Linked DNA regions of Notamacropus eugenii. The protein of the gene in region 2 interacts with the protein of the main gene of each other region in a pairwise test. Links are inferred from orthologs where the notes say so. Each region holds a gene or a part of one and is shown on either strand. Other genes may lie near its edges. The genes, in order: GEM, PDLIM7, PHF1 and ZMYND11.

Evidence for each region.
Region 1: the proteins of PDLIM7 (region 2) and GEM interact in binary tests that used the Homo sapiens proteins (3 or more experiments, as listed by UniProt). The two-hybrid records come from large-scale screens. The link is inferred for Notamacropus eugenii from reciprocal best matches to the Homo sapiens genes PDLIM7 and GEM.
Region 3: the proteins of PDLIM7 (region 2) and PHF1 interact in binary tests that used the Homo sapiens proteins (3 or more experiments, as listed by UniProt). The two-hybrid records come from large-scale screens. The link is inferred for Notamacropus eugenii from reciprocal best matches to the Homo sapiens genes PDLIM7 and PHF1.
Region 4: the proteins of PDLIM7 (region 2) and ZMYND11 interact in a two-hybrid assay, tested with the Homo sapiens proteins (2 studies listed by BioGRID). The link is inferred for Notamacropus eugenii from reciprocal best matches to the Homo sapiens genes PDLIM7 and ZMYND11.

The regions. Positions count from the first base shown.
Region 1 is NC_092875.1:158,863,380-158,871,209, reverse strand, and holds the start of GEM (GTP-binding protein GEM), read right to left. Parts: upstream 3,006-7,830; 5' UTR 2,361-3,005; exon of another isoform or gene 2,350-2,360; intron 760-2,349; 5' UTR 724-759; coding exon 661-723; intron 552-660; coding exon 212-551; intron 1-211. UniProt on the Homo sapiens protein: Could be a regulatory protein, possibly participating in receptor-mediated signal transduction at the plasma membrane. Has guanine nucleotide-binding activity but undetectable intrinsic GTPase activity.
Region 2 is NC_092872.1:414,318,163-414,325,336, reverse strand, and holds the start of PDLIM7 (PDZ and LIM domain protein 7), read right to left. Parts: upstream 3,013-7,174; 5' UTR 2,885-3,012; intron 2,308-2,884; 5' UTR 2,242-2,307; exon of another isoform or gene 2,185-2,241; intron 1,476-2,184; exon of another isoform or gene 1,280-1,475; intron 1,107-1,279; 5' UTR 1,088-1,106; coding exon 992-1,087; intron 1-991. UniProt on the Homo sapiens protein: May function as a scaffold on which the coordinated assembly of proteins can occur. May play a role as an adapter that, via its PDZ domain, localizes LIM-binding proteins to actin filaments of both skeletal muscle and nonmuscle tissues.
Region 3 is NC_092873.1:89,405,639-89,412,872, forward strand, and holds the start of PHF1 (PHD finger protein 1), read left to right. Parts: upstream 1-4,218; 5' UTR 4,219-4,305; intron 4,306-4,680; exon of another isoform or gene 4,681-4,980; intron 4,981-5,089; exon of another isoform or gene 5,090-5,408; intron 5,409-5,811; 5' UTR 5,812-5,826; coding exon 5,827-5,985; intron 5,986-6,120; coding exon 6,121-6,202; intron 6,203-6,321; coding exon 6,322-6,417; intron 6,418-6,600; coding exon 6,601-6,704; intron 6,705-6,841; coding exon 6,842-6,990; intron 6,991-7,177; coding exon 7,178-7,234. Other genes in the region: kinesin-like protein KIFC1, read left to right, coding at 172-225, 469-525, 743-1,143, 1,589-2,356, 2,581-2,871, 2,966-3,039, 3,191-3,266, 3,511-3,555. UniProt on the Homo sapiens protein: Polycomb group (PcG) that specifically binds histone H3 trimethylated at 'Lys-36' (H3K36me3) and recruits the PRC2 complex. Involved in DNA damage response and is recruited at double-strand breaks (DSBs).
Region 4 is NC_092874.1:84,121,830-84,129,038, forward strand, and holds the start of ZMYND11 (zinc finger MYND domain-containing protein 11), read right to left. Parts: upstream 3,017-7,209; 5' UTR 2,879-3,016; intron 2,389-2,878; exon of another isoform or gene 2,230-2,388; intron 1-2,229. UniProt on the Homo sapiens protein: Chromatin reader that specifically recognizes and binds histone H3.3 trimethylated at 'Lys-36' (H3.3K36me3) and regulates RNA polymerase II elongation. Does not bind other histone H3 subtypes (H3.1 or H3.2).

The DNA.
Region 1 (7,830 bases), on a different chromosome or scaffold from region 2:
TTCAGAAGATTTTGATCTTTGTCAATGGTTATTTTACTCTTTCTGGTCCACAGGGCTTGAACCAGAGACTTGTGACTTTTACATACCAGTTAGTGGCAAGAAGAATTATCTCAGTTCTAAACCCTACTGATAAGTAGCCCAGCTATTATGCTCTGCTTTAATGCTGATGTGGGCCTGTTGACTAGAGACAGTTCAACACTTAACTACCTACCTCCCAATACCTCACAGTCACTGTCCATGCTGTCAGTCACACCTGCAAAGATGTTGGCCAGGGTAGACTTGCCCACACCATGTTCCCCAATCAGCACCACTCGATAGTATGTATTTCCAGACTCAGAGGAAATGACTGAATCTGTGGAGTCAGATGACCAACTTCGCCGGTAATAGTCTTCTGGGTTCATGGAGTATCGGTTGCGGTTGTTGTATGAGTGGGGGTCTTTCTGGACCATCAGGTGCCTCCCATCGGCAGGGATGCTCCAGCGCTGCTGCTGTGCCTGCAGGGCCGTACTGCTTCGGCGCATGGTGACATTGTTCAGAGTCATTGTTGGTTCCTGGGGAGCAAACAGAACACCAGGATTATGTAGTTGGAGTTTCATCCATTTTTTTTTCATGAAATGAGAACTACAAATCCCCAAGAAACAAGGTACCAATGAAACAAACCTGAGCTCTGAGTGGTCCAAGTCTGAATTGCTCAGTCATACTCCTAGGAGTAGGATTTCTCATCTATTTCAGGCAGTGAAACAGCTCTAGGTGTCATTTCTAAGGGAAGGGAAAAGGCACCACGGATGGATCATAGAGGGATGAGTACTCCCCAGATAGGTCATACTTTTAGAATTAGAAAGTCATGTATTCTAAGTCACTGGTTTTACAGAAGAAGAAACTAAGGCACAGAGAAGTCAAGTGATTTTCAGAACCTCTGGCACCAAACCCAGTGCTCTCTCTACCATATTAAGCTGCTTCTTAGCTCCTGAGGGCTAATAATGAGTTGATCCTAAGGATGTCAAAGTCACAAACACACTAAAAAAAAAAAATCCTACTCCCTTTAAATCCACAAGTGAGGGATTCTGAGGAGCAGCAGACCAGGGACCAAGTTATCTTTCCAGCTCATTCTGCACTTAATTGCACTGACCTATCCATCAGCCTGCTTTGCCTTGGTTGGAAACCTACGGCAATGACATCATTGCCCTTCTGCTTGAGCAGTATATACATTGGAACTACCATGTTTAGTCACATTGCTTTGATGCTCTCCAGCTGCTGAGGCTATTATTTTAATGTTTCTCTCTGAGGTTTATGCCTCAACATTGCTGTCTGCTCACTGGCATGCCTTTAAAAAAAATACACCACCCTGATGATCACTATTCTGGCATTAAATGTGCATTCAGTTGCTTCCAAAACTATCAAACATGCCCATGCACATGGCTTTTCACTAAGTCCTGTTGAGATTTCTCATTAATTAAACGAAGTTTTTTAATCTTCTGGAAGCCTCAATCATAGAAAACAGATAGTGAAAAAAAAATGGCCCATTGGGCATCAGAAAGACATGAGGAAGTAATGGATGGTATTTGACTTGAATGACTTCAAATCTCTCTTCTCACACTTCCAAGCTGTGCGACCTTGGAGGAAGTCATTTCTCTGCTCTCGTCTGAATTTCCTCATCTGTAACAAGGGGGGTTGGATTGCCTGAGCTCTAAAATCCCTCCTTAACTATAAAATTTGTAGAATGATCAGCACTCTAACAAGTCCACTACAGCTTCTAGGCTACTGTATTGTAGCTCCCTTCCTCTTTCCTGGAGTTTTGTGAACTCAGATAGTACCTAGAGTGGAGCATTTACATTTTTTCCTCCGCAAAATTCATTCTCGGTAGCAAGAAATACATTGACCAAGAAGTCACTACAGGCGTTATCAGTCTCCAGACAAGCTGATCAAAGACATATAAGAACAGTAAGCCAAAGTGGCAGGGTTTTGTTTGGTTTTGCTTTGTTTTTGCTGGGAGGGGGAGAAACACAAGACATCATCACCATCCGTCTGCCCATCTGCCTTGAAAATTGGTACAAATTAATAGTATCATTCCCCTCTGTCCAAAAAAAGAATTGTCATTATCCTCATCTTAAGTTCTTTTCTCTTTTTTTGAACATTTCGAGCCTGGATCATAGACTCTAAGATCACTTTTCACTACTTAAAAAGTTCAGGTTGGCAGAGGAAGCCGCATTTACTACTCCCCGAGCCGCGTATCCCATGCATCCTCGTCCCATCCATCCGCACCCCTTCACTGCAGAGGGGGCTCTGGCCTCCGATAGATCCCCACGTTCCAGCTTAGCCTCCCAAGAGTGTTCATACATACACACTTACACACACGCTACCTGACTTTTCACAGTCCCTTCCAGTCAAGACAGCCGCGGGATCCTGGGGAATCTCTTCTTCACGCTGGAGCGAGCGAACGAACGAGCAAGCAAGTGAGCGCAGGCTGGTGCGCCGCTCTGCTGGAGTAAACTCCTCTCCTTCCCACTGGCTGACTCTCTCCAGCCGTTGCTCGGCTCCCCCAGGTTTATATTAAGCACATCTGATCAGGCAGGGCTTTTCCGTGACGTCACTGCCCTGGCCACAGAGCAGGCGGCCCCCCGCTGGGAGGAAACGGGTATGCAGAGAAGCCCAAAGTTGCAGACGCTCCCAACGAACACAAAATCAGTTACTTGCAGTCATATGATTTTTCTTCCCCCCTCCCTCTCCAAACCTCCACCCGCTTTTCCAGAGTGCCAGGGAAGCAGATCCTGTGACTTTTTTTTTTTTACAAGGTGAAAACAAGAAAATGGAAAAATACTCCAAGTGTCACTTAATCGTCTTTCCCGGCAATGTACTCGAGAGCTGCCCAGATGAAGGATACACAAAGGCTCGGGGCTGATTTGCAAAGTGGAGCTGGGGCTCCATTCATTCTGCTTTGTCACGACAGCATCGATCAGCCCTAGGTGCTGGAACATCCAGCCTCCGAATCATGAATCTGCAGCCACCTGGAGAAAGGGTGGGAGGAAGAGGGGGATGAGGGGGAAAGAGAAGGGAAACATTTATTTTAGCCGCATCTTCTGATGGAAGTAACAGCCTCGTGTCTCGTTTTACCCCCTCTTCGGCCCAAGAAAAAAAGAGTGGGGACAGCCGGGGAGCTATTCATGATTCTCTGCTCTTTCTGCGGAAAATGAGGAAAAGGGGGAGAAGGGGAGACACAGAGAGCTTCAAAGAGGACGGTTTAGGGAAGGAAACAATGAGATATCCAAACAGATTGTGGTAAATTCCCCTGACCCTCCCTACTTGCCTCTGCCCACCTTACTAGATGACAAACCCCCGAAATCAGTTGCAGGGCATTATAGCGTCAGGGCATTTGATCAGAACCTCAGTCATCATCATCGTCTCTGCAATAATCCCTAGACACATCAATCAGTACTTCAGGCGTGAGGCCAAAGCCATTAGCCAGGGGCAGGAATGACTTCTCCTTCAACCCAAGGCACCTAAGGGATTCCTTTGAATAGTGTGCATGTGATGTCAGTCCTAATCTACAGGCAAATGCACCTAAATTATCCCTTCTTAGAGGACACCTGAATTTCCCCAGATGCCCTATTGGGAGATGACTCAGGACATTTTCAATGTATCATTCTTTTCCTCTAGCTAACTTTGCTCCTGGCTTGGCCAATGAGTTGTAGAAGGAGCCAAAAGGCACTGCAGCTATCTCAGTAGCCAAGTTCAAATGTTCCTCCAATTTAAAGGAAACTACAGTCAATTTTTTTGGTTATCTGTGGGTGATTTATCTGCACTGTGGATTATCCTGAATGACTAGTTGCTGAAGAGAGAAGAGTTATTGAAACACCATTCAAATACATCTTTTCTTCTATCCAACCAGTCATACACATCTATTATAGACCACAGATTCTATTCCAACAGTCCCAAAAGTCCCAAAAGTCACAGAATGTCAGAATTTGGAAAGGACTTCAAGGAGGTATCTAATAGAACCCTGCTTGAGCAGCAATCTGCTGAACCACTTCCCTGGCAAGTGATCACACAGCTTCCACTGAAAGGTCTCCATCAATGAGAACCTCACCACCTTCTAAGGCAGCTTGGTCCACTTCTGAATAGTTCTGATTGAGGGGAGTCCTTCCTTACATGGAGCATAAACTTGCTTTTCTTCATTTTTCACCCAGTGCTACGAGTCGTGGCTCTGGGACTGAACAAAATAAATCTAATCCCTTTTCCATATGCTATTCCTCCAGATAATTTTAAGATATCTCTCAAGCTCCCTCCACAAAGACTTCTCCAGATCAATCAACAAGCATTTATTAAGCATCTACTCTGCATCAGACACCATGCTTGGGGCTGGGGATACAAGAGCAAATATGAAACAATATCTAACTCTCAAGAATCTTAGAAAATATTTTCCATTTCCTTCAACTAACATTTTTATGGCATGGTCTCCAGTTCCCCTCACTTTCTACTTGCCATTCTCTAGACATGCAACCAGACTATCAGTGTCCTTCCTAAAACGTGGCATGCCATAACAGGACACAATATTCCAGATGGTGTCTGATTAAGGCAGAGTACAACAGCAGAACTATCCCATCCTTCATTCTGCACACTATGCTTCTGTTAAGGCAGCTGAAAATCACATTTATTTTTTTGGCTGCCATGTCACACTCTTGACTCATATTGAGTTTGCAGTCACTAAAAGACAATAACTGATTACAGATAACAACTCTGCAGCTACCAGTTCTAACCCATGGACATGGAAAACATTCTTCTAGGCTTCTTTCTCTCACTCCAGACTTCCAATTGTTCTGATGTGGACATCTCCAGATAAATACTAGGTCTGTACCCCAAAGAGAACAAAGAAAAAGTGAAGGGACCTATGTGGACCAAAAAATATTTATAATGATTCTTTTTGTGAGGGCAAAGAATTAGAAATAGAGGGGCTACCCACCAGCTGGGGAATGACTGAACAAATCATGATAAATGATTGTGATGTTCAGTTGTGTCTGACTTCTTCTGACCCTATGGACCATAGCACACCAGATCCTTCTATCCTCCAATATCTCCCAAAGTCTGTCCAAGCTCATGTTCATTGATACTATCTCTCCATCTCATCCTCTGTTGTCCCCTTTTACTTCTTCCTTCAATCTTTTCCAAAACCACGGTCTTTTCCAATTAGTCCTGTCTCCTCATTATGTCACCAAAGTATTTAAGCTTCAGTTTTAGCATTTGTCCTTCCAATAAGCAGCCTGAATTAATTTAAGTGTTATCAGAAATGAAGAGAGATGGTTTCAGAAGAATCTGGGGAACTGATACAAAGTGAAGCAGGACCAGGAGAACATTGCTCATAGTAACAGCAATATTGTCATGATTATTACCTGTAAAAGACTTAGCTACTCTGATTGAGACAATGGAACCAAGACAATTCCAGAGAGTCCATGATTAAAAATACTATTCACCTCCAGAGAGAGAACTGATAAATTCTGAGTGCAGAGTGAAGGGTACTTTTTTCACTTTCTTTATTTTTCTTGCCTTTTATTTTTTTGGGGGGGGATAACTAACATGTAAATATGTTTTGCCTGACTTCATGTGTAAAATTGATATCATATTGCTTGCCTTTTCATTGGGTGGGAAAGGGGAAAAAGGGAGGAAGAGATTTGAAACTCAAAAGTTTTTCTCTCCAGTCATCCTGATGAATATCTGGCTCTGGGGGAGAAGTGAGGCTGGTGACCTGCACAGCCCTCCCTCACTCAAAACAAAGTCAAGTGCAAGTCATGTCATCATTTCTCTGATGGCATGGTCTTTGGCAACAAAGGACGAACACAACAACAGCAACAACAACAACAAAAACAAAAACAAATAAATAAATAAAGGGGGTAAAAGAAAAGCTAATTTGCATATATAAGTCGATAAGAAAACCATCTTCTATGATGAAATCATAAAGTTGGAAGAAGACATTAATGGTCATCTACTCCAACTTTCTGTGCAAAGCAAGTATCCCTTCATAAGTCCCTTCTTCATTAAGACCAATTCCCCATCCACACTTACCTCACCATGCCCCCATACCACAATCCACACACACACTCTTCTGCCAGGAGCAGAGAACACAGAAATATATACTTGTTAAGGGTTGTTCTTTGTGGGGGGTTTTTAAATTTCGCTTGTGAACTAGCTTCACCATCTTCACAGGTTTATTCACTAAAAAGAGAGGGAAAAGCCCCATTCATCTCATAAAGAATTCTTATTTGTGGAGTTTCAATTCAATCCAATTTGACATATTTTTATTGAGCATCTACAATGCTTTAAGGCACAATTCTAGACACAGCCTCCATCCTGATGGCTCCATAACATTCTAACAGAAAATTCCCCCTGTATAGTAATGGAGGTGGAGAAAGGAAGGGAGGGAAGACAGGAAGCAGAGTAAACCTGTGCTTCCCTCTGTAACCCTCCCCTCAAAGGCTCTGTCTTGATGCCAATGATCCGGCTACTCTTTGGGGGCCACTCACGTATCTTCCTCACTGCTCTGACCCACATGGAACTTGAGGGTTCACATTGCTGGCACCTCACCAATTCCCTCACTAGCATTTTGGCTCACAAAACTTCAGGAAATTTTATTTAGACAGTGAGGGGAAAAGAAAGGACTCCTATCTAAGCCCATAAAGAATCAAGAGCCCCTGCTCAGTTTCTTTTTGAGCAACACTTCCAATACACAGCCCAGGGACCCACCCAGCCCTTATGATTCACAGCATTATCCTCTCCTCTCAAGGACAAAATGGAAATTTCTGAAAGCCTTTCAGTTTGGCTCCTGTTTATCATTACAGACATTTCATATGAGTTGCCTTCACATAGTTGATATTCTAAAAAAACTAAACAAAAACAGCCTAATTGCTGTTCCCCATATGAAACATTCCATTTTCTAGCTCCATACCTTTATGTAGGTTGTTTTTCATGCCTACGATGTTCTCCCTCTCGGAATCCCTCACTCCCTTCAGGTTCATCTCTGGTGCTTTATGAGGTCTTTTCTGATCCCCCTTATTATTACTGTACTTCTACCCTGCAAAGAAATTAATGCATATATTTGCATACCTTTTGGGGGGGGAGAAGGACCAGCAACTAGAATTAAATGTCTTGTCCAGAATCATATTAGTAAGTATGTGAGGCTGGATTTGAACTCAGGACCTCCTGACTCCAGGGCCTCAACTCCATCCATTATGCCACCTAGCTGTTCCTGGTAGTTATTTTTCTATATCCCAGTCATATCCCTTCTCCCAGTGGAAAAGAAGATCCCTGAGGGCAAGGACAATTTTTTTTTGTCTTTGTAACTCCTGTGGGTACATAATAGTGTACTCATTTGTTGTTGTTGAGTTGTTTTAGTTGTGTCTGACTCTTTGTGACCCCATTTGGGGTTTTCTTGGCAAAGATATAGGAATGGTTTGCCATTTGGTTCTCCAGTTCATTTGATGGATGAAGAAGCTGAGGCAAACAGAGTTAAGTGATGTGCCCAGAGCCACACAGCTAGTAAGTGTGTGAGGCTAGATTTTATTTTATTTTATTTTTATTTTTTTAAATTTATTTATTTAACTTTTAACATTCATTTTCACAAAATTTTGGGTTCCAAATTTTCTCCCCATTTTTCCCCTCCCCCACCCCAAAACACCGAACATTCTAATTGCCCCTATCACCAATCTGCCCTCTCTTCTATCATCCCTCTCTGCCCTTGTCCCCATCTTCTCTTTTGTCCTGTAGGGCCAAATAACTTTCTATACCCCTTTACTTGTATTTCTTATTTCCTAGTGGCAAGAACAGTACTCGACAGTTGTTCCT
Region 2 (7,174 bases):
GAAGGGAAGGCTGGGAATTGGGAGACCTGAAACAGAGGCTCAGTGATGTCACTGACAAATGTGTGACTCTGGCTGTGTCACATCCCCTCGATGGGCTCCCTTTTCTTCACAGAGAAAATGAGGGTGTTACATCAGATGATCTCTAACGTCCCCTTCTAGCTTGAATAATCTATGGATTTGCAGATGTGTCATGCAAGCTTTTGAGGGGCAGAACAAAGGGAAGGGGAAAGGAATGAGTATTTATACAGCACCTACTGTGTGCCAGGTACTATGCTAAGTGCTTTACAAATATCTCAAGTGATCCTCACAACCCTACATGGTAGGCTGCGATATTATCTCCATTTTACAGTTGAAGAAACCGAGGCAAGCAAAGTACCTTACCCAGGGTCACACAGCTACCAAGTGTCTGAGGAGAGATTTGAACTCTTCCTGACTCCAGACCCACTGTGTGCCACTGACCAAATTTTATCCATTTCCATCTCACCCTTAGTACTCAGCAGAGCCCATCTGCCCAAACAAAATTCAACAAATGATACTTTCCATAGTTAAAGCACTATAAAATTTACAAAAAATGCTACAAGTCTAGAACTTGATATGCCCTAGGTCACACACACAGAATAAGTAGCAGAGCTGAATTCCAGTTTAGGCCTTTTGACTCCAAAAACCAACCAGTGCACTAAGAAAACTATTTCCTCATGATACCCTTTTAGATAGGTCATGTTATCCCCCATTTTATAGAGTCAGAGGTTAAATGACTTGCCCAAGGTCACTGATGTAGGTAGTAGTAGGGCCAAGATTCAAACCCAGTCCCAAGTGCAAAGTCCCAAACCCTGTCTGCACTCTTGTATGACCTGGAATCATCATCCTCCTGCCCACTAGAACAACCATCAATGGCCCCATTCTTTTTGCTTCCTATGCCAACTCCCAGAAAGAACACATTAATACCTACTGCCCCACCCTCATTCAACGAGGAGGTAAGTTCTTGTCTCACCCGAGAGATGGAGAGGGGCACGTTGAAGTCCTTGCCCCCTTGTAACCGGAAACCCCATGGAGCTGGCCCATCCAGCGTCACCTTGTATGGATTCATGGTGCCAGCTGATTTGTTCCTGAAGGAAAAATAGAAAAGATTCAGCTGAGGCACGCAGGCTGACTGGTTCCTGACAGTGGACATACAGACATCGGGCCAGATGCCAGATGGACAGACATCGAGTCGAGGACTTCGACCTGCTTAAGGGAAAGAGAAGGAACTGCTCAGGCCCTGAGAAAGTTCATCTCTAACCTGGATTGTTTTCTCCCCTGACAACATCCCCCACTAAGTAAGGGGTTCTGCTTAAGGGTCCCCTGAGAATCCAATGGGAAGTAGTCTTCTAGAGTCAGGGATGGGGAGAGCCCAAAAAACTCTCCTCTACCCCCACCCAGCCCCACCCCCTGAGCCTCTGGGTGAGAGCAGGGTCAGAGTGGGGGCAGGCCAGAGTGAAACATAGAGGCCTCACTCAGGCTATATAAGGCATGAAAGCCGATACTGCACGTTGGGGGCTCAGGGACGAGGGGGGGGGGGGTTGAAGGGAAGAGAGATTGTGGGGGAGGGGACTGGAGCCCATCCCAGCCTTGGCTGTTCCCCCAGCCAAGACAGGAAGAGAAGGAGGGAACCCTTTGAGCTGACAGCTGATCTCAGAGGAAAGGAGACCAGGCCTAGGAGATGTGTTGTTGACTCTGAGGAGGGAAAGGGCCTGCTTCTTTTTCTGAAGAGCCCCTAGGGAACATGGGGAAGGGTGGCCTAGAACTAAGACAAACAAGCCTAGTGCTCAACACCCTTCCAGGCTAGAGGTGTGTGTGGGGGTCCTGACATTTGAGGGCCTGCTTCTCAGGGTAGGAAAGGACTAACACCTAGGTAACTATTAGGCCAGGAAAGCTGCTGCCAATATAAGGCAGGCCAGATATATAATATGGCCAGAAGTTCCCTTAGCCCTCCTGCCTCAGTTTCCCCAGAAGCCTGTTAAAATGTACTGTCCAACAGTCTTGTGGACTGGAAGGGTACCACTGCCTAAGGGTAGGTCTCCCAGACATTAGATGAAAGATATTCCCTCTCCCTGAGAAAGGACAGGAGGGGTCTGAGCCTGTGGCAAGTCATCTAACCCCCCCCTGAGGCTCAGTTTCCTCATCTGTAAAATGAGAGGGTCGGACCATAGATGGCCTTGGAGGTGCCTTCCGATCCCCCGAAGAGAAAGGGCAGAAGCTCACGTCCGGAGGTCAGCATCCTCACGAGACTTCCGGAGCCTCTGGGAGAGGTAGGACAAGCAAGGCAGGCTGGTAGCAGAGGAGAAGAACTGACAGATAAGTGCGTCCCGGCACCCCCTCCCCCATCGGGGAGAGCCGAGAAAGCTAAGTCAGCGCCTTCGCCTCCCAAGAAGGTAAACGGACCGGCTCCAGGCGGCGCCTCCAATCCCCCCAGCGATGTCAGCCCCCTCCCCGGGGAGGGACCGAGGGTCAGCCACCCATCCCCCCACCGAGGGAAGGAAGACTGGGGCTGTCCATCAGTCCCCCACCGCAGCTCGGGGAGGAAAGGAGAAGGGGTCCGGTGGTTCCCGGAGTCTCCAGGCCCGCCCGCCCTCCGGGAGAAGCGGACTCAGCAGCTCCCCCACCGCCCCCGGGATGGGGGGTGCTCGGGGCGACTCCCTCCCTGCCTCCCTCCCAGTTCCCGGGGCGGGGCCGCCGGCCGGGCCCTGACACGGGGCTGCTCTCGCCCCAGCCTGAGCCCGAAGCCCCGGGCCGGACAGGGCGGGGTGCCCGGAGCGGGAGCCCCGGGGCAGAGGCGGGGGCGGCAGCGGCAGCCGCGTGGCTCCGCGCTCGGGAAAGCCCGCGCCCGCTGCCCACCGCCGGTTACCTGGCAGCGCTCGGGGCGTCGGGGGCGCCGTGGGGACCGCGGGCTGCGCGCACTCGAGCCGCTTCGGGCCGGCCCCGGCGCGCTCTGGCTCCGCCCGGAGCCGCCGCCACCGCCTTTGAGCTCCCGGGGGCGGGTCTGGGAGGCCCCGCCCCCGATGCCCCGCCCCCGTCCGAGCCCCGCCCCTTCTCCCGCTTTGTCTCGGGCGGCCCGGGGGGGACCCGAAGAGTCCGGGAGCGACCGCGCCCTTCCCACCTTCCCCGCCCCTGCGGGCCGAGCCCCGGAGGATGCCCGAGGGCGAGGTGGACGCTCCCCGGGAGCTCCGCGCCTGGGCCTGCATGCCCCGAGAGCGAGCAGCTCGGGTGGACTTCTCTTTGCAGCGGGGTGGCAGGGCTGGCCCTGGCTCCCGCAGGTCCTCGAGCGCACTCTCCTTTATTTCACGGGGCACCTGAGACTCGGCCAGGTTCAGGGACTGGTCCGGTCACCCAGCTGAGCAGTGCTCGGACGCAGCGTCCGCACCAAGAGCTGCCTTCTGCCAGTTCAGGCTCTATCCAGGATTCCCGGGAGCAGACCCTAATGAGAGCCCAGATCTCCCGACTTCCTGCCTAGACTTAAAAGGGGGGACAGGGTAAAAACGTCAAGACTTGGAGCTTGAGCCCTTGTGTTTTTGACGTCGCCAGGGAGGGAATTTGTTTTTCTTGACTCTACATATTTGTAAAATGTTTTTCTTGCTTTCCCAAAAGAGGAGGAGGAGGGGAGAGAGAGAGAAGGCAGTGCTGAAAATAAAATAATTTTTTAAAAAAGCTTAAAATCGACCCTCAAGATGACCGCAGAAACTTGTTTAGTAACTGTTTACATTCAAATCAATTACTGGGGGTGGGGGACCCTGTAGGTGCAGCACGTGGCACACATGGTTAGGCTTTGTCGATGTACTGATTAGTTGGACTTCACTACTCTTCTGGGTTTTTTTAATCCTTTGTTACAAGGGATGTTTCTCTGGGCACAAGGAGGAAGGAATATGTCTGGAGAGGAATGTGATGTAAAAACAAAAGATATAAATAAAATATTTTAATCAATTTCAAAATGAAGAATCATAAGAATTTTTGGGTCACTCCCTCTCAGTTCACCTCAGAATTCCTTCTTTGTCTATTCATTCTCATTCACTTTTTGTCTTATATGGTCATAGAAGTAAGTATTCCATTCTTCTGCTTTCTCTACTTTGCCGTTTTTTCTTAAAGGTCTTTCCAGAGATTTCTTTGTGTTCTTAACTTGTGGGTCTTATGACATAGAATTCCATTACAAATATACCATGATTTCTTGAATTCTTCGGTTGTTGGACATTTTGGTTGTTTCCAGGTTTTTGTAGTTACATAACATCTAGAAGTCTTTTCACTGACTGCATTGCCCTGTTCCCTGGTACCAATCTCCAGGCACCCTCCAAAGGCTTTGGCCACAACAAACCACCCCCAAGTGTCCCCTCCCCCTCAGCTCCCTTCCTACCAGACAAACACTATATGTCTCCTCCAAGAAACTTTCCCTCATCCTCCACCCCTCCTCAAGGAAGTAACCTGCCCCCCACCCCCCCCGAAAAAAAAATAACCCTTGCTTCTGTTAAGTGCTGCTCGAAGCTGACTGAGAGATCTATGTCTAGCTGACTGTATCCCTATAATCAGCTCAGTTTGATTCAGCCAACTTTATCAAACACCCGATTATACGCTGAGGACAGTCCTACCTTCAAGGTGATTATAATGGAACGAAGAGATCAGACCCTGCTGCTACCCGCTGAACACCTTCACCCAGTCTCCCACCAATAACTAAAATCCAAGGGAGGTAGAGATGAGTTTGAAGGAGAGATCCAGACAAATTGCTAGGAGAAATGTGAAAAGGGAGAGAGAGAGAAAGACAGAGAGAATCAGTTTTACCTGATGAGGGGATAAGGCATCAGGGAAGGAAGCCTTCATGGAAGTGGTGACACCTGAGTTGGCCCTTCAAAGAAGTGGAGTATTTCAACAGATATGTGGAGGTGGGGGTGTGGGATGGTTTTGAGTGAAGACATAAAAATGGGGAGAAGACAGAAGACTAGGAATGAAGAGTGGAGCATGGGCTCTATCTCCTTCTGACCTCTCCCCCCCCCCCCAAAAAAAAGGACTGGGATCTTAGAGAATCTATGGACTTCTCCAAACTCATTCAAGGCAAAGCAAGTTGAGGCAGTTGCCTGGATGGAGACCTAGCTACAGAGAATAATCCAGGCAGGAAAGCAATGAGCTCTCCATCACTGGAGGTCTTCAGTCAGAAGCAAGGGGGCAGGGCAGGTTGTGAGGAGCTTCTATTTTTTATTTATTTTTATTTCTTTTTTTTTTTTTAATTTATTACTAGAGACCCTCTGTGGTCCCTCTAGCTCTGAGATCAGCATCTTCAGTCAAACCCAATCCTAGCCCCTTCTGAGGATGTTTTTGTTTTTTTAACTTTTTCCCAAGGGGCCTCTACCCACAGGGCTGCTTTCTGCCTAGACTGCCCCTTCCCCAGCCTTCCCTACTTTGTCTGTGATACTACCAGAGTTCTTCTTGGCTCTTCTTCCTTCCCTCTCCCTGACCAGTTGCCAAATCTTGTTGATTCTACCTCTGTAATGTACCTTGGATCCATCCCCTTCTTTTCACTTATAGGGTCATAGTTCAACCCTTGCCTGATCATTCTTGCCAGGACTATTGCAATGGATACTTTAATTGGTCTATCCAGGGGTGAGGAACCTTTGGCCTCAAGGCTACATGTGGCCTTCTAGGCCCTCAAATGTAACCCTTTGATTGAATTCAAGCTACATGTGGCCTCAAGGCCACCCCTGGTCTATCCCCTAGTCTCTCCCCTCTCTACTCTTGTCTAGAGGGGTAGAGACCCCTTGAAAAAAGTTAAAAAAAAACAAAAACACCCTCAGAAGGGGCTAGAATTGGGTTTGACCAAAGATGTTGATCTTCACTCAAAACCATCCCACACCCCCACCTCCACATATCTGTTGAAATACTCCACTTCTTTGAAGGGCCAACTCAGGTGTCACCACTTCCATGAAGGCTTCCTTCCCTGATGCCTTACCCCCCCCTCATCAGGTAAAACTGATTCTCTCTGTCTTTCTCTCTCTCTCCCTTTTCACATTTCTCCTAGCAATTTGCCTGGATCTCTCCTTCAAACTCATCTCTACCTCCCTTGGATTTTAGTTATTGGTGGGAGACTGGGTGAAGGTGTTCAGTGGGTAGCAGCAGGGTCTGATCTCTTTATTTGATGGTAAGGGTGGAGCAGGGCAAGCCTTTCTGTCTTTCCCACTGCCCCCAGTCCCTGTCTGACCTCTAGGGATTGCTGATACCACTGATTCTCCTAGCCTTAGTGTACATGTTCCCAGTTGTAAGCTTTTTCAAGGGGACTGTACTAGCAACATAGAGAAAATGGAAAAACTTCCAAAGTACAAAAATGGCCATGGCCTTCTCTCTGTTCCTCACAAGCAACAATACCATCTTTCATCTTCAGGCCTGTTCACCTGGCTGTCTCCTGTGCCTAGAATGCATCTGTGTATCAGTCAGCCTCCTCCCCAAAGCATTTTTTGATGCATCCCTCAGATAGTGAACCCTCTCAGATTTTCCTAGAGCATTTGGACCTTTTTCTTTGCCCCTATCATATTCTATCTTGGATTATATTTATCTGGGTACATATACTAGAGGCAGCTAGGTGGCATAGTAGATAGAGTGCTCAGCCTGGAGTCAAGAAGACCTGAATTCAAATCTAGCCTCAGACACTAATTGTGTGACCCTTGGCAAGTCATTTGATTCCTACTGTCCCCCCCCACAAAAAAAAAAAAAATGAGCTGGAGAAGGAAATGGCAAGCCACTCCAGTGTCTTTGCCAAGAAAACCCCAAATGGGATCACAAAGAGTCAGACACTACGGAGCAATAACCACAAAACACATACTACTCCTTCTGAAGGCAGGAATTATGGCACCACGTTGTAATGTAAGAGCATGCTAGATTCTGAGTCAGAAACCTGAGTTCAAATCCTGGCTCTGGTACCACTTGCTCACTGTGAGACCTTGGGTGAAATCACTTCAGCACTTTCAGGCTCACGTTCTTCAGCTACAAAGTGCGGTTGATTATGGACAAGGTGACCCCTAAAGTCCCTACCAGCTCTAAAATTACAGTCCCATGAATTTTCATCGTTATGTCCCCATTGCCTAACATAGAGCCCTGCATTCTATATGCATTCTATAAATAAATGTCACAGTCACTAAATAAATCCTGTCGAATTAAATTATCC
Region 3 (7,234 bases), on a different chromosome or scaffold from region 2:
GTAATTCTGTCTTAGGTTATACGTGCAATAGGAGATGAACATGTCTGAGAGGAACGGGTATATTATCTCTTCAGAATAAGAGGTCAGCCCTAGGCTGGCTCTTATATTCTTTCCTGCATAGAAACTGCCCTGAGGATGCTCCCTATCACCTTCTTCCTTATCTCCTCGCAGCCCAGAAGGCTCCCCTAAAAACAGGACCTTGGCATACTACAACGGCCACCACAGGTGAGTAGGCATCAGTAGCTAGATCTCAGGGAAACAAGCACAAGTTGGAAAGGGAAGAATGATGGAGGGATTTGGCTGCCTGTGAATCTGAGCTTGATCTCAGCTCTGCAGCTTATGTCTTAGGTGAACTTTGGCAAGGTAAACCTCTGGACCATAGTTTGCTCTGTAAAATGAAAGAGTCGGTCACTATCAGCTCCAAATTAATTGATGTTATTGAAATTATTATCTCTTATCTTTGTACAGATGTGAAGAATAGGAAGCCAGTCTCTGCAGTCTCTACTGTCTCTGCACCAAAACCTGGTAAGTGGCTAATCTAATCCCTCAGGTTAGGCAATGTACCACTTACAGAGGGAATAGCAGTTGTACTGAGTGCTCTACAAAAACCATTAGCCCATTTCTGTCTCCCCTGTGAGATAAAAAGGAGGGAATGGGAGTTAATGGTGTTTGTTGCTCACTGAAAGGAGAAGAGAAAGGAGCTAGAGTTTTCATTCGCCTTGCTACTCTTTCCCATACCTAGTATCAAGAATGTCCCCTACAAAAACAAGGAAAGGATCTAGCAAGCGTCCAGCCTGGGATGTGAAGGGACAACTGTGTGACTTACGGAAGGAGTTCAGTGCCTGCCAGGTACAGACTGAGGTTCTAACCAGGGAGAACCAGGAACTCAGGAGCCAGTTTGGGCAAGCTGATCAACAAGCCAAAACTCTGGAGGCTGAGAACAAGGTGTTGATTGGGGATCTGACGGAGACTCGGGCCCAAGCTAAGCAAGACCAGCTGGAGCTGGGGAAGTTGAGGGCTCAGGTCCAGGAGCTGGAAGCACTTCTGCATACTCAGAAGGGCCTAGTTCAGTCATTGCAAGAAGAGCGGTTACAGTTGCAAGAAGAACGAAGGGATCTGGCTGCTCGGCTAGAGGTACAGGAGGTGAGTAACGCTTGGGTGGACAAAGCATCGTCCTGTGTGCGTTCACATGGAATTCTTGCTGAGCCTCCGCTGGGGGATGTTTGACCTTCTCCCTTTTACTTGTGTCTTGGAGTGTGTCCTCCCTTCTCAGAGTTTTCATCTGAGCTGAAGGCCCCTTCCCTCACTTTTGAGCTGTGTCTTTCAAGGAATTTCCCTTGCCTCATGCAGTTTCTTGTAGCTTGATTTTGATTTCGTTTTCTCTCCTCTTTCTTGCCATCTGTAATATTCTCCTTGTTCCCTTTCTTCCATTCTATCTATATATCCTTTCCTGTTGTGCCTTACCCCATCTTCATTCTTCCTTCTCATCTCACCAGTTACTCTGTTCCCTCTCACAGTGTCCACTCTTAATACTTCCCTCCATACTTTCTAACCCCTCTTTCTCTCTTACCTCTCTGACCTATGCCAGGCACAACTCCAAGAATCAATGGCAGCTCTGGCCAAAAGTCAGGCAGATTTCACAGCCCAGGCAGACTTGTTGGCCACAAGGACAGAGCATCTGCATGGTCTTGAGATGGAGCGGCGGTATCTGCACAACCAGCTGCAAGAGCTCAAGGGTAACATTCGGGTTTTTTGTCGAGTCCGCCCTGCTCTACCTGGAGAGCCCACACCACCTCCTGGCCTCATCCTTTTTCCTCCTGGGTCTAATGGAGCCTCTGAGCCTTCCACTCGACTCAGTCTTACTCGGCCAAGTGATGATCGATGTAGCATCATAGGAGGGTTACCAAGTGCTCCTGCCCGCTATGACTTCTCCTTTGACCGAGTGTTCCTACCAGGGAGCAAACAGAATGAAGTGTTTGAAGAAGTCTCCCTGCTTGTGCAGTCAGCCCTGGATGGTTACCCTGTGTGCATCTTTGCCTATGGCCAGACAGGCAGTGGCAAGACATTCACGATGGAAGGAGGGCCAGGAGGAGACCCGCAAGTTGAGGGGCTGATCCCAAGAGCTGTAAGGCATCTGTTTTCAGTAGCCCGGAAGCTGGAGGCCCAAGGCTGGAGCTACACCTTTGTGGCTAGCTATGTGGAGATCTACAATGAAACCATCAGGGACCTGTTGGCCTGTGTGGGTGGGGCCCAAAAGTGCCAGGGGACTGAGTATGAGATTCGACTGGCTGGCCCTGGAAGTAAGGAGCTTATTGTCACCAATGCCCAATATGTCCCCGTTTCCTGCGAAGAGGAGGTAGGGAATGAGGTAGACAGAGAGGGGATAAGATCAAGGGACAGGAGAGGAGACTGGGAAGTGGGGGGGTTATAGGAAAGATTTGGGGCTGTGGGAAGTTGTCAGATTAGGTGCAAGGTATTGGGAGTGGGGGAATGTTCTACAAAAACCAAGAGTTGGGGAAAGAATATATGTGTGCTCACTGAGAAGATATTGACAATGGCAGTCTCGCTCTCCCAATTCAGGTGGAATCCCTGCTCCATCTGGCTCGTCAGAATCGGGCAGTGGCTCGAACAGCACAAAACGAGCAGTCATCGCGAAGCCACAGTGTGTTCCAGCTGCAGATTTCAGGGAAGCACATGGGGCAGAACTTACACTGTACAGCCTCTCTCAACCTAATAGATCTGGCTGGGAGTGAAAGACTAGATCCTGGCTTGTCCACTGGCCCTGGAGATCGAGAACGACTGAAGGAGACCCAAGCCATCAACAGCAGCCTCTCTACACTGGGCCTTGTCATCATGGCCCTGAGCAATAAGGTAGGAGCAAGGGAGATTGCAGCCGAGCCGTTTGTTCTGAGATATTAAAATGCTGCCTTGTCCCGTTGTAACCTCCATCTCCCCCACAACCCAGGAGTCGCATGTGCCATACCGGAACAGCAAACTCACGTACCTGCTGCAGAATTCTCTAAGGGGCAGTGCCAAAATGTGAGTAGTAAGAATAGGAACTGATAGACTAGCTTGTTAAGGATGGAAGAAACTTGCAGACTGGCTCTAAGCAACACTAACAGGTGTGAACCAGGGCCGGAGGAATGTCTTGAGAATGTTGCCTTTGTGCTAAACCCCTTCTCCCACCCAGGCTTATGTTTGTGAATATCTCCCCATTGGAAGAAAACTTCTCAGAGTCCCTCAACTCCCTGCGATTTGCCTCCAAGGTACAGACATCTCCCATGGGTCCTTTGTTTTTCACTTCTGTCCTGTCAGTCCCTGGCTCTTTGAGGGTGTGCCCCTCCCCCTTTGCTGTTTGCCAGTTAGGCTCACTATAGCTCTCCTCTTTCCCCGGGCTAGAGTGTCTGGATACCTGCTTCCAGATTTCCTTAGGAGGTCTGGAAGGGTTGTATCCATCCCAAAGGAATTGTTCTGGTGCTGACACAGGCATCTCTTCTTTTCCTCTCCCAGGTAAACCAGTGTGTTATTGGCACTGCTCGAGCCAACAAGAAATAGAAGGGCCATCTTTGGTGTCCTGCGTGTATGTGGTTTTTATGTATGTTTAAGGGGATATTTTTAATTAGAGTGGTAACTGAGTTTATATAACTAGGTGAATATAACCATGTATCACAAAATAAAATTATCTTAGCACATGTTCTCGGTGATTTTATGTGTTGGTTACTTTTGCTGAATTGCCCTCCCCTTGTTCTTTAAGAACTGATGCCCAAGAAGGGATGTATTTGGAAATGCAGGCAAAGGGCCCTTAAGAAATGGCTTTCTTCGACCACTTTCCCGGGAAGTTTCTTTCTGGAAAGCTGGGGTAAGGGGCCGAGCGATTTGGCCAGGGATCTCCTGGTGCCGCCCTTGGCACCGTCCCCGTCTGTCCGTCACTCGGAAGGTCCGCGGCGCGCTCGGGGCTGGCAGCTCCGGCCTGGGCCGCGGCGGGCCGGGCTGACCGCTCGGACGATGCATGACTCAACGCCCGCTCCCGCTGGAGCGCCCCATTCAAACGGCCCGGGCCCCGCCCCGTTTCCTTTCCATTGGCTCTGCCTGCGTTAACGCCCCCGGCCCCGGCAATTGTCCGACCGCTCCCCTCCGGCCCTCCTCCTTCCTTACTGCCCCGCGCCTCCCGCCCTCCTGCGCCTGGGGAAGCAGAGCGAGGGAACGCTGCGCCAGCCCCGACGGCCCCGCCCGGCGGGGAGAGGGGGGCGCTCCAGCTCCGCAGGTGCCGCGCGCCAGCGCGGAGCGGAAAGCTGGGGGAGGGAGGTGGGTCCGCGCATGCGCCTTGGCGGGGGAGGCTGGGTGGGCAAAACCGGGGGGAAGGGGGCGGGGCCGGTGGGCAATTAGAGGGAGGGGGGTAGGGGCCGCGGGGGGGCCAAAGGTGCGGGAATGGGCTGGTGGGGGCGGCTCCCGGGCAGTTTCGGATTGTGGCGCGAGGCGCGGAGGCCGCGGCGGGGGCGGGGCCGGGGCGGGAGCCGAGCAGGGATTCCCTGCCGCCGGGGGCGGGCCGGGGCCACTCGGAGGGATTCCCCGTCGGCCTCGGCGCCTGGGTCCTGGGAGGAGGGCGTGCACCCGGCCCCACCCCACCCCGCGTGGCCCGCCCGGGAGGCGTAGGGGGTGGGGTGAGGTGGTTCCCGCCCCCCTCCCCCCAGCTCCTCCCTCCCTCCCAGGCCTCCCCCCCCCAGTCAGTCCGTCCCTCCCCTCCCTCCCTCCCTCCTCCTCTCCCTCCTCCTGCTGCTGCCGCCGCCGCCGCCGCCGCCGCCGCCGCTGCTTTGGCTGCTGCGTCATACGCCCCAGAGCAGCCGGGACCGAGGGGCCGGGCCCGGGGACCCCCCCAGCCTCTGTCTGCCCCCTCCCCCGGACGCCTGGACATCTCGACCCCCGCCCCGGCCCCCCCACGGCTCCCCCTCCCCAGCTCCCCGGCGGCCGCAGCTGTCACCGGTAAGGAGGAGGCGGAGAGGGCGGGGGGCCGAAGGAGTACTGGGAGGGGGGGGGGCCAGGCGGGGGAGCCCCCCTCCCCCGGGAGAGGCGTTGGCGCTAGGTGGGGGAGGGGTCCTTCTCTGGCTCCCCTCCACCCTCTCGTCTCCCCCCACCCAGCCTTTCCAATCACATGCATGCAGAGACCCCCTTTTGCAAGGGGGCTGCCTCACGTCACCTCCAGGTTTGCCCCATCTCGGGGAGTAGAGATTGGGACCGGGACACGCCCCCCTCCCTAGCTACACGGGAAGTTATCCGCCCCACCCCCACACCCCTGGGTTAGAGAACCTCAGATTGGAGTGGGACTCAAGATAATCCAGGAATAGGAAGATTCTTCAGCATGGATCGGAGGGAATCTCATTACTGAGGACCCCCTTCCCCCCGAAAAGCAGGTTGTCTGAACTCTGACATCTCTGGACAGGGAAATTCCAAGATGAAGCCAGCCAGGATGTAGGGGTGGGACTAGGACCTAAGGGGAGGCCTCTTTCTCCAATCCATCATCCTCTTAAAATCCTTGAACCAAGAGAGAAACTCCCTGAGAGAACCAATCCCTGGAGGAATCTTGGGGGTGGGAGACTAAGAATCAGGTGTCTGTGCTCCCTCTCCCTCGAATCTTAGAAACCCCCTCAGTGCGGGTCTGAAAGAGAAGACTATGGGCTTTTGTGATATCGAACTGGGGAAGCAAGGAGAAAGCTGGAATCTTGAATATTTTGAGTCCCCTTGGGGGAGCCAAGCAGGAAGAGGTGATTGCTGTTGGGGGTGGGGAAGGTAACTCTTCCCCCCTTGTCCTACCAGGCTCCCCAGGATGCAATGGCGCAGCCCTCCCGGCTGAGCCGCTCTGCTGCCCCCCAACCCTGGGAGCCCACTCCCCCAGCCCCTTCCCCAGGTACCAGACCCCGGCTTTGGGAGGGACAAGATGTTCTGGCCAGATGGACTGATGGACTCCTTTACCTGGGAACTATCAAGAAGGTGAGATCTAAACCTCTGACCTCAACCTCAACCCCACTTTTCTCCTGAAACATTAACTTTAGTATTCCCTTTCCATCCTCTTGACTCAAATCAAATGTCCCTTTCTCAGCATTCACCTCCTTTTCTCTCTCCCAGGTGGATAGTGCTCGGGAGGTCTGTCTAGTACAGTTTGAAGATGACTCCCAGTTTCTTGTTCTATGGAAAGACATTAGCCCTGGTGAGATGCAAGGGAGCTTGGTCCCTAAAAAGAAGCAGGGACTGGGGGACAGAAGCTTGGCTCTTAAGAATAATGGGGCTAGAGCCTTACAGTCCTTATCTCTCTTTTCTGTTTCATAGCTGCCCTCCCTGGAGAAGAGCTCCTGTGCTGCGTCTGTCGATCTGAGTCTGTGGTCCCTGGGAACCGGCTGGTCAGCTGTGAGAAATGTCGACATGGTAAGGAATGACATTTGACCTCTCCCAGCCTATTGGGGAACCACACCTTCACAGTCTATGATTTCTTTTCCATAATTTCCCTTCTTTACCCTTTTCTTGTTATAATCCTGAACCTCTTCCCCCTAGTCATTCTTCCCAATACTTTACCCTCAACCCTCCATGATCCTTCTTCTCACCCCCCAGCATATCACCAGGATTGCCACATTCCAAGAGCCCCAGCCCCTGGAGAAGGAGATGGCCCATCCCCTTGGGTCTGCAGGCAGTGTGTCTTTGCCATCGCTACCAAGGTACCGAAATCACTCCTCCCCATGGTAGATACCACTCACCTCTCTCTATACACTGACCTTCCACCCTACCCCCAAGCTGTCACTTAACTTTTCTCTTTCTTCACCACCAAACTATCTCAATGTGTTTGTCCCTGCAGAGGGGAGGTGCCCTGAAGAAAGGTCCTTACGCACGGGCAATGCTGGGGATGAAGCTGTCTTTGCCATATGGACTGAAGGGCCTGGACTGGGATGCAGGACACCTGAGCAACCGACAGCAGAGTTACTGTTACTGCGGGGGCCCTGGGGAGTGAGTCACAGAAAGAAGGGAAGGAATGGGGAGGCTTTCTGAAGGGGGGGGTGATGCCAGTGAGTCAAGGTAGGTGCTAGGGAGAGATTTGGGGGAAGGGAACCCAGTTGTAGTAATGAAAGTGATGGCAGATGATAGGGTTGTGGAGGCAGAACAACTGCAGGCCTCACCTGGTACTCTCTCTCAGGTGGAACCTAAAGATGCTACAATGTCGGAGTTGCCTCCAGTGGTTTCACGAGGCATG
Region 4 (7,209 bases), on a different chromosome or scaffold from region 2:
ATTACTAAGAACTTAGCTACATTATCTTTTCTGACCTTTGAATTCCTAATTTAGGCTATCATAAAAAAAAAAAAAAAGAGTTAACACAATGATTGTAAGCCAAGCAGCAGACCACTCTACCAAAACTGGTCAGTTAACATTAAGCAGAATACTCCTGCAAAGGGTCTTGGATATGTTAGTAACTCAGCTGGTATGTTTCAGTGGTTTTTATTCTGAAATCAAAACTACAAATGGATCCTTGTCTAGGAAAGACACAACTTTCAAAACCAAGAGCTACTTCCCCAACATCTTGCAAGTAAATGTAATTGTATCCCAAGACTGCTCCCCCTAAATGATCTTACCTCCCCCAAGTCTGGTAAAGTTTGTTTGATGCCTTTTAACAAAGTCTGAATTAAAACTCACAAAACTCATTTTATATGGAAGGGGAGAACTATTAAAAGTTTTTTTCTTCAAAAACTAATTTTAGGACAAAAAGATAATAATAAAATCGTTTATTAAAGTGATGTAGTGCCAGATCCCTCCTTTTAAATGCCAGAGAGACTGAAAACTCCAAGTCCTCTAAAAGTGTAAACCAATATCGCCTTTTTCTCTAATTCCACCTGCTTCATAATTTTCCTTCATGGGAATGTAACACCATCTTACAAATGACCAGTTTCATATTTTCACGATGGGCTTTCACCACTGACCCAAAGTTCTTGTAAAATACTTCTGGCGTCACACAGATCCTTAGTAGCCAGAGATTCGGTCTAAAGGACAAAACTCAGGTCAAACAATCAAAGTACACACAACTTAAAAGGCTTCGGAAGCCCGGGGTGGGGGGGAAGGACCTCCTCCAAGAGGTCAGGGGCAGCCAGAGCCAACTGACCACGCAGCTTTTCTTCCAAAGACTGTCCTCCTTCCTTTTAACTCCATCAGAACCCTGGCAAGTCCAGACAGGGACGAGGGGCTTCTCTCTCAAAAACACAAACATCGTTTTCCTTAAACGCTCCCCAAGGGGTGGAAGTACACTTGCTTGTCACCAGGTGGGTGAGGGAACGCGGGGAACTTTTATTATCTGCCTTTAAAGGCGTGAGCAAAGCGGGGACCTGTTGAAGGAGCAGGGCGAGGAGGGCGCCGCCAGGCCCCGCGGCAGGAAGCCCCGCTCGTGCCCACGTCCTTCGGGGCCCCGCGGCGGCAGCTGCCGTGCCTTGCCCGACAACGAGCCGCGCCGGCCGGCCCCGGCGGCCGCCCTCCTCCCCTCCCCTTCCCCCACACATACAGATCCATGTTCCCGGAGGGTGGAGGGGGGCTCCCGGGGCAGGGTCCGGGCTACCGGACGGAGCGCGGCCGGCCCTCGGCCTCCACGCGACGCCCCGGCTTTCCCGCTGCCGACCAGGCCTCGGCGCGGTTCTTGCAAGGGAAGCTTTTCCCACCGTTCTTTGAAAGCCACGGGGGAGAAGGGGAGGGTATGCGGGGGGGGGGGGTCACTCCTCTCACCCCTCCAAAAAATAAAAAAAGACACCGGTCCAGAAGCCCCGACACGAGGATGCGCCGCCCCCTCCCCGGGCCGGGGAGCGCCCCCCCCGCGCTGCCCCGCGCGGCTCCAGCGGCCAACTTCGGCGGGGGCCCCAGGGAGCGAGCGGGAGGAGGGCAGATGGCGGGGCTGGGCGCGGGGTCAGGGCCACAACAAGGCGGGGACCCCCGCCCCCCGGGGCTGCTCCTCCCAGCCGTCACCACTGCCGCCTCGGGCTCCTTCAGGGCCCCCCCAGCGCGCGCGCACACGCACACTCACACGCACACACACACACTCACACACACTCACTCCCGCCCATCGCCCTCCTTCCTTCCTTCCCCCTCTTCCCAGCTCCGGGGACAGCACGACAGGGAAGGGCGGGAAGGAGCGGGGGGCGGCCTGCCCGCGGGGGGGGTCAGACCCCCGCGGCCGCCGCCCTCCCCTCCCTCGCCCTCCCGGCGGGGCCCGCGGGCCCGGGGCTCGGGAGTTTGGAAGGCGCCATGTTGATAATCCTCCATCACACCACCCGCCCCGGGAGAGAGAAGGCGAGAGACCCGAGGCGGGGGGGCGGGAGAGCAGCCGCGACAATGGAGGACGAGAAGGCAGGGGCGGCGGGGAGGGCGCGCGCGGGGGCCGCCCCGGGGCGGCGGGGGCAGAGTCCGCCCGGCGGGGCCCCCTCGGCCCGGCCGCCCCAGCCCCAGCCTCCCCCTCGGTCCGCCCGCCTCTTCCCCACTTACAGCGTCGCTCCGCTCCTCACCTGGTGCTGCGGCGGCGGCGGCGGCGGCGCGCGGGCGGGCGGGCGGGAGGGCGGCGGGCTGGCTCCCGAGCCGAGGGAGGGGAGGGAGGGAGCGAGCGAGCGCGGAGGGCGCGGGGAGCGAGGAGGGAGGGAAGGAGGGAGGGGGCCGGGGGAGGGGGGGCGAGAAGTTGGGAGGCGCGCCCGCCGGCCTGCCTGGCTGCCGGGGGAAACTTTTCAATCCCGTCCCCAGGCCGCTGCTGCCTCCCCCTTCACATGTTGGTTTTGTGTGCGTGCGTGTGTGTGTGTCTGCGTGTGCGTGTGTTTTCCTCCCCTCCCCCTCCTTCCTTCCCTCCCTCCTCCCCGCTCCCTCCCTCGCTCTCCCTCTCCCTCGCCCCCCCCTGGAGTTTTATTGTGTCTGATCCCCCTCCCCCCGTGTCCACAGGTCAGGTTTCTCGGGGTAAACAGGGTTGGTTTCCGAGGGGGCGAGAAGGCGCAGCCGCCGCGTGGGGAGAAGGGGAACTCTAGCGGCTGCCTCCGGACCTGCTTCCTTCCCCGAGCACGGATTTTTTTTTACGTGTATTTATACGATGAAAATAAATCTGCATTTACACCCAGGCTCCCCGAGCTCCCGCCCCACCCCCCCTCCTCACTTCTGGAGTGCCTCCTCTCGGGTGGATTCTGTGGCACGTGCGAAGAACCTCTCGTGCACACTCGGGTAGTAACGGAGAGCGACCCTAGGCGGACAGGGACCGGGAGCTGGCTTTCTCATTGTTCGTCGTGGCCGCGGTCAGAGAGGTGGCGGGTGTGCGTGGTTCTGGCCGGGCCGGGGTTCAACGGGATTACGCTGCCGTGTGTGTGTCCGTGGTGTTCGTGTTTGTGTGCCCGTGGGAGGTCTCTCCCAGCCCCTCGCAGGCATTCGTCTTTAAATCACCCGACTCTGGGGGAGAGGTTCAGGACCCGATGTAGGAGGTGTAGCCCGAGAAGTGGAAGGTCCCCTAGTCCCAGGCTCGGATGCGGAAAGATCTGCTGGTACATCTCATGTTAGCAAGGCCGGCACAAACAAGGATTAGAGGAGGAGATTGTTCTTTACAATCGCCAGGTGTAAATTAGGCCACGAGAAATCTTGATGTTCAGTTCAGGAAGGTAAGGGAGCAGGTGAGCTTGGCTTTGTACATCTTGGACTCCTTCCTGAATGCCTGTCGTTTAGGGCCCTGTGACCAAAAACCTTTTTTTTTCCGTCTCTTACCTGGTTATTAAATCTGATACTGTGACTGGAAGGCAGTTGGTCAGGGAGAGGCATCATTTTTAAGCCAACTCATCATCCTTCCGCCAAGCTTTAAAGATTGGGTTGGAACTTGGAAGAACAGAAGTGTATAGACGTGCTTGTCTGTCCACCCTGCCTTACTAGGTGGTCTGCTTCAGGGATGGAACAAATATTACCATAGCCTGGCCTATTAAGTGATTCCCAACCTTGATTTACTTATACCGCTGGAGGTTTCTGGCTATCTCATGAGACATCCCAAAATTCTGGAAACAAAATTAATTTGAAGAACATGCCACCCTACACTTTTGGAGATGGTATTGAGGAGTTATCAGAAAAATTAAGACAAAGAAAAGGTGTGAAGAAAAGGTGTAGCAGTATCAAAAGGAACAGGAGAAATTAATTCCACTACTGGCTAATGAAAGTAAATAAATCAACTTGTATGCAATTCAAATTCTCAGTCTATGAAATGGTGGAAATAGTTGGCCCCAAGTATTTCAAAAATAGTTACATTATTTCATTTTAGTGTATACATAGACACACAGATAAGCTACATTGTGTTTGTGTTAAAAAAAGGTATAAGAAAAACTGTCACATAAATTCAAGTTTCAATCCAATTATGTCTTGCAAATTACTTCAATTTTTATCTGTTGCTTTTCTCATCACCGACTAATTCATTTGTGTGTATTTTCACTATATATCACTGTTCTGTGACTTTTCCCCTGAAATTAACCTGATAATTTTCCCTTCAGAGTATGATGTTTTTTGACCCACTACACTCACCAGCAGCTAATCTCTCCTCAGTCTGGGGTTTGGGGGAAGAAAGCAGCACCCAACCCTGTCTACCTCCACTTTGGAAAGAGGATGATTGAAGGACAGAGGTAGAAAAAATAGAGATGAAGTTTGAAAGGCACAAAGGGTACTTAGGAATCAATGAATCAGAGAATATTAAATTTGGAAGGGACCTTAAAGAAAAACACCCAAAGGGTGAAATGAGTTCACAGTTAATTTAGTACACTCAAGCTGAAATTAGAAGTCACATCTCATGACATCTAGTCCACTGTGTTTTCTACTCTCAGAAATAGTTAACAGAAAATACAGCTATCTGAAGGACTAGGTAATTACCTCTTTTCACTCCCCCGCCCTCCAAAAAAGTTTGCTTCCTGGCAGTAGGAAATGATAGCTAGACAGACAGACAGAGAGAGAGACAGATAGACAAATAGACGGATAGATAGATAGATAGATGATAGATAGATAGAGATGACTTTGGAACCAGGAAGACCTGTGTTCATGTTCTACCACTGACTGGTACTGTGAGTGAACCTGGGCAAGTCACTTTAATCTCTCAGTGCTCTAGGCACAACTCTGCAAATTACACCCAAGGTCTGAACTGCGTTGGTTGATGAGGTTTCTTTATTTCAGAAAGCCCTCTATCAATGGAATCAGCCCCTATGACTATCCCAATCCTTGTGACCACCCACCTCACACACATATACCTCAAACCCTGTATTACTGCATAAGCCGCTTCTGGTTTAATCTAAAGGCCATCCTTAGGCTTTCCAGAATTCACCTTAAAAACTGTAGTCCACAAACCAGCTCCGTTTTTATTACAAAAATTATGATATACATGTATCCATATGTACATATACAAATTATGACATTTCTCATTTTATAGGAAATAAATTCAAAGTTCAAAAAGTTAATATATACAATATCCTTGTAAATTTCAATAATAATGAACTTTTATATAGTATTTTAAGATTGATGTTCAGTCATTTCAGTCATGTTTGACTCTTCATGATCCCATTTGGGGTTTTCTTGGCAAAGATACTAGAGTGGCTTGCCATTTCCTTCTCCAGTTCATTTTGCGGATGAGGAAACTGAGGCAAATAGGGATAAATGACCCAAGGGTCACACAGCTAGCAAATGTCTGAGGCTAGATTTGAACTCAGGGAGATGAGTCTTTCTGATTCCAGCCCCCAACTCTCTCCACTGTTCCAACTAGCTATCCATTTTAAGATTAGCAAAGCAATTTAAAGACATTATACAATTTGATTATTACATAAATGATATATTCCTACTGGGGAAAAATGGTTGAGAGACCAGGTTCACAACTTTGGGGGAGAAAAAGGTTAAGACAGTAGCCTAGACCCACTTGCTGGATCTTTTCTAATGCTGAAATATTCTAATGCTGAATAGATTGAATTTTCAGTATTCCAAATTGCCAGTCAACATATGATGTATTCTCATCTAGAAATCTTAAATTGGAACCCAGTGTAGTAAGACTGTGAATGAACTCCATGTGCTATCTCTGGGGTATTTTTGGAGTTAACTCTTGGATGATGCCACTGGCAACAGTTAAAAAAAAAAAAGACAGTCTTCTCCATTCAACAAACATTTTAGATAAGTACCTTCAATACACAAAGCACAGTGACAGGACCTGATAGAACTGCAAAGATAGAAGAGGGTACCCTGCTCTCAAGCAGGCTAGAAGAGGATATGACATGCACAGAAATAACCATAATTCAAACTCAAATAGATAAGGGAAGTACAAAGTGCTGTGAGATGTAACACCACACTGAATCCTAGACTCTCCTTTTCTTCTCTAAAAGCAATACTAACTTAGAGTTTTATAGGACTTTTCAAAAATGCTTTTCTCATGACAGCACTACTACTGGTGCTGTGGTGTGTTATTATCTCCATTTTCCAGATGAGAAAACTGAAGAACAGAATTGTGGAGTCTTGTGCATCACCACACAGGCAAAAGTCCAAACTCTGACCCAGGTGTCCTGATTTCAAACACTGTTCTTTCTAACATCACCTTGTGTGTAGTGCAATATGCACAGATAATTTCAAGTCCTTGACTAAATTTTATTATACTGTGATAGAACTGGAGGACAGATTGTAATATAGTTGACATAAATCACAGGTGTAGACTCACATTACTGAGCCTAGTTTTAAGCAAGGCTTTCCATGCATTCTGTATACTTACACTCTCCCATTCTAGTGTCAAATGCTGTCCTTTCCATCTAACATTGCTTACTTTCAGTCCTAGTTTAAACTATTATCTTTTTACTCTATTTTTAGTGGCTCAAGGAACAGAGTTCTTTCCTATCTGAGTTCTTGATTCCCCACCTCCCTACTTTATTTTTGCTTCTGGTGGCAATTGTTGTGTCTTTTAGCCTGTCAGCTTTATGGGACTCATTCAATGAGTTAGAGAGGAGACAGATCTCTTCTGCCCATTCCCTAACTTGTAGCAGCAAATATTCTCTAGAGAGCTGATGAATGGTTTTGGCATGCCAATAAAAGGTGAGAGCAAAACCCAATATACTAGTTTGATACCTGTGTATACCCACACGTACATATATGTACACACATGCGTATGTGTATATATGTATATTTGTGTGAATGTATATATGTATATATACCCCAGTGGGGTTTATTGATAAATATGCTACAGCTGGCTAGATGTCTATGGATAGCAAATAAGTGGAATGTGAATGCTTCCACAGACTCCTTGGATCCTTCCTGAGAAAAGGGACATAGTCCATATGCTGATGTGAGCACCAGCCTCTTCTGAAGCAATGGAATTTAAGGCTAGATTGTTCTTGCTTAGATAGAGTAAAATCTCTTCCTCTGACAAAATTATCAGCTATGCCCTTGATAGTTTGGAAGTGCTAGTTGCCCAGGATATGGTGCCAGAACCTGTAAAGATTCCTT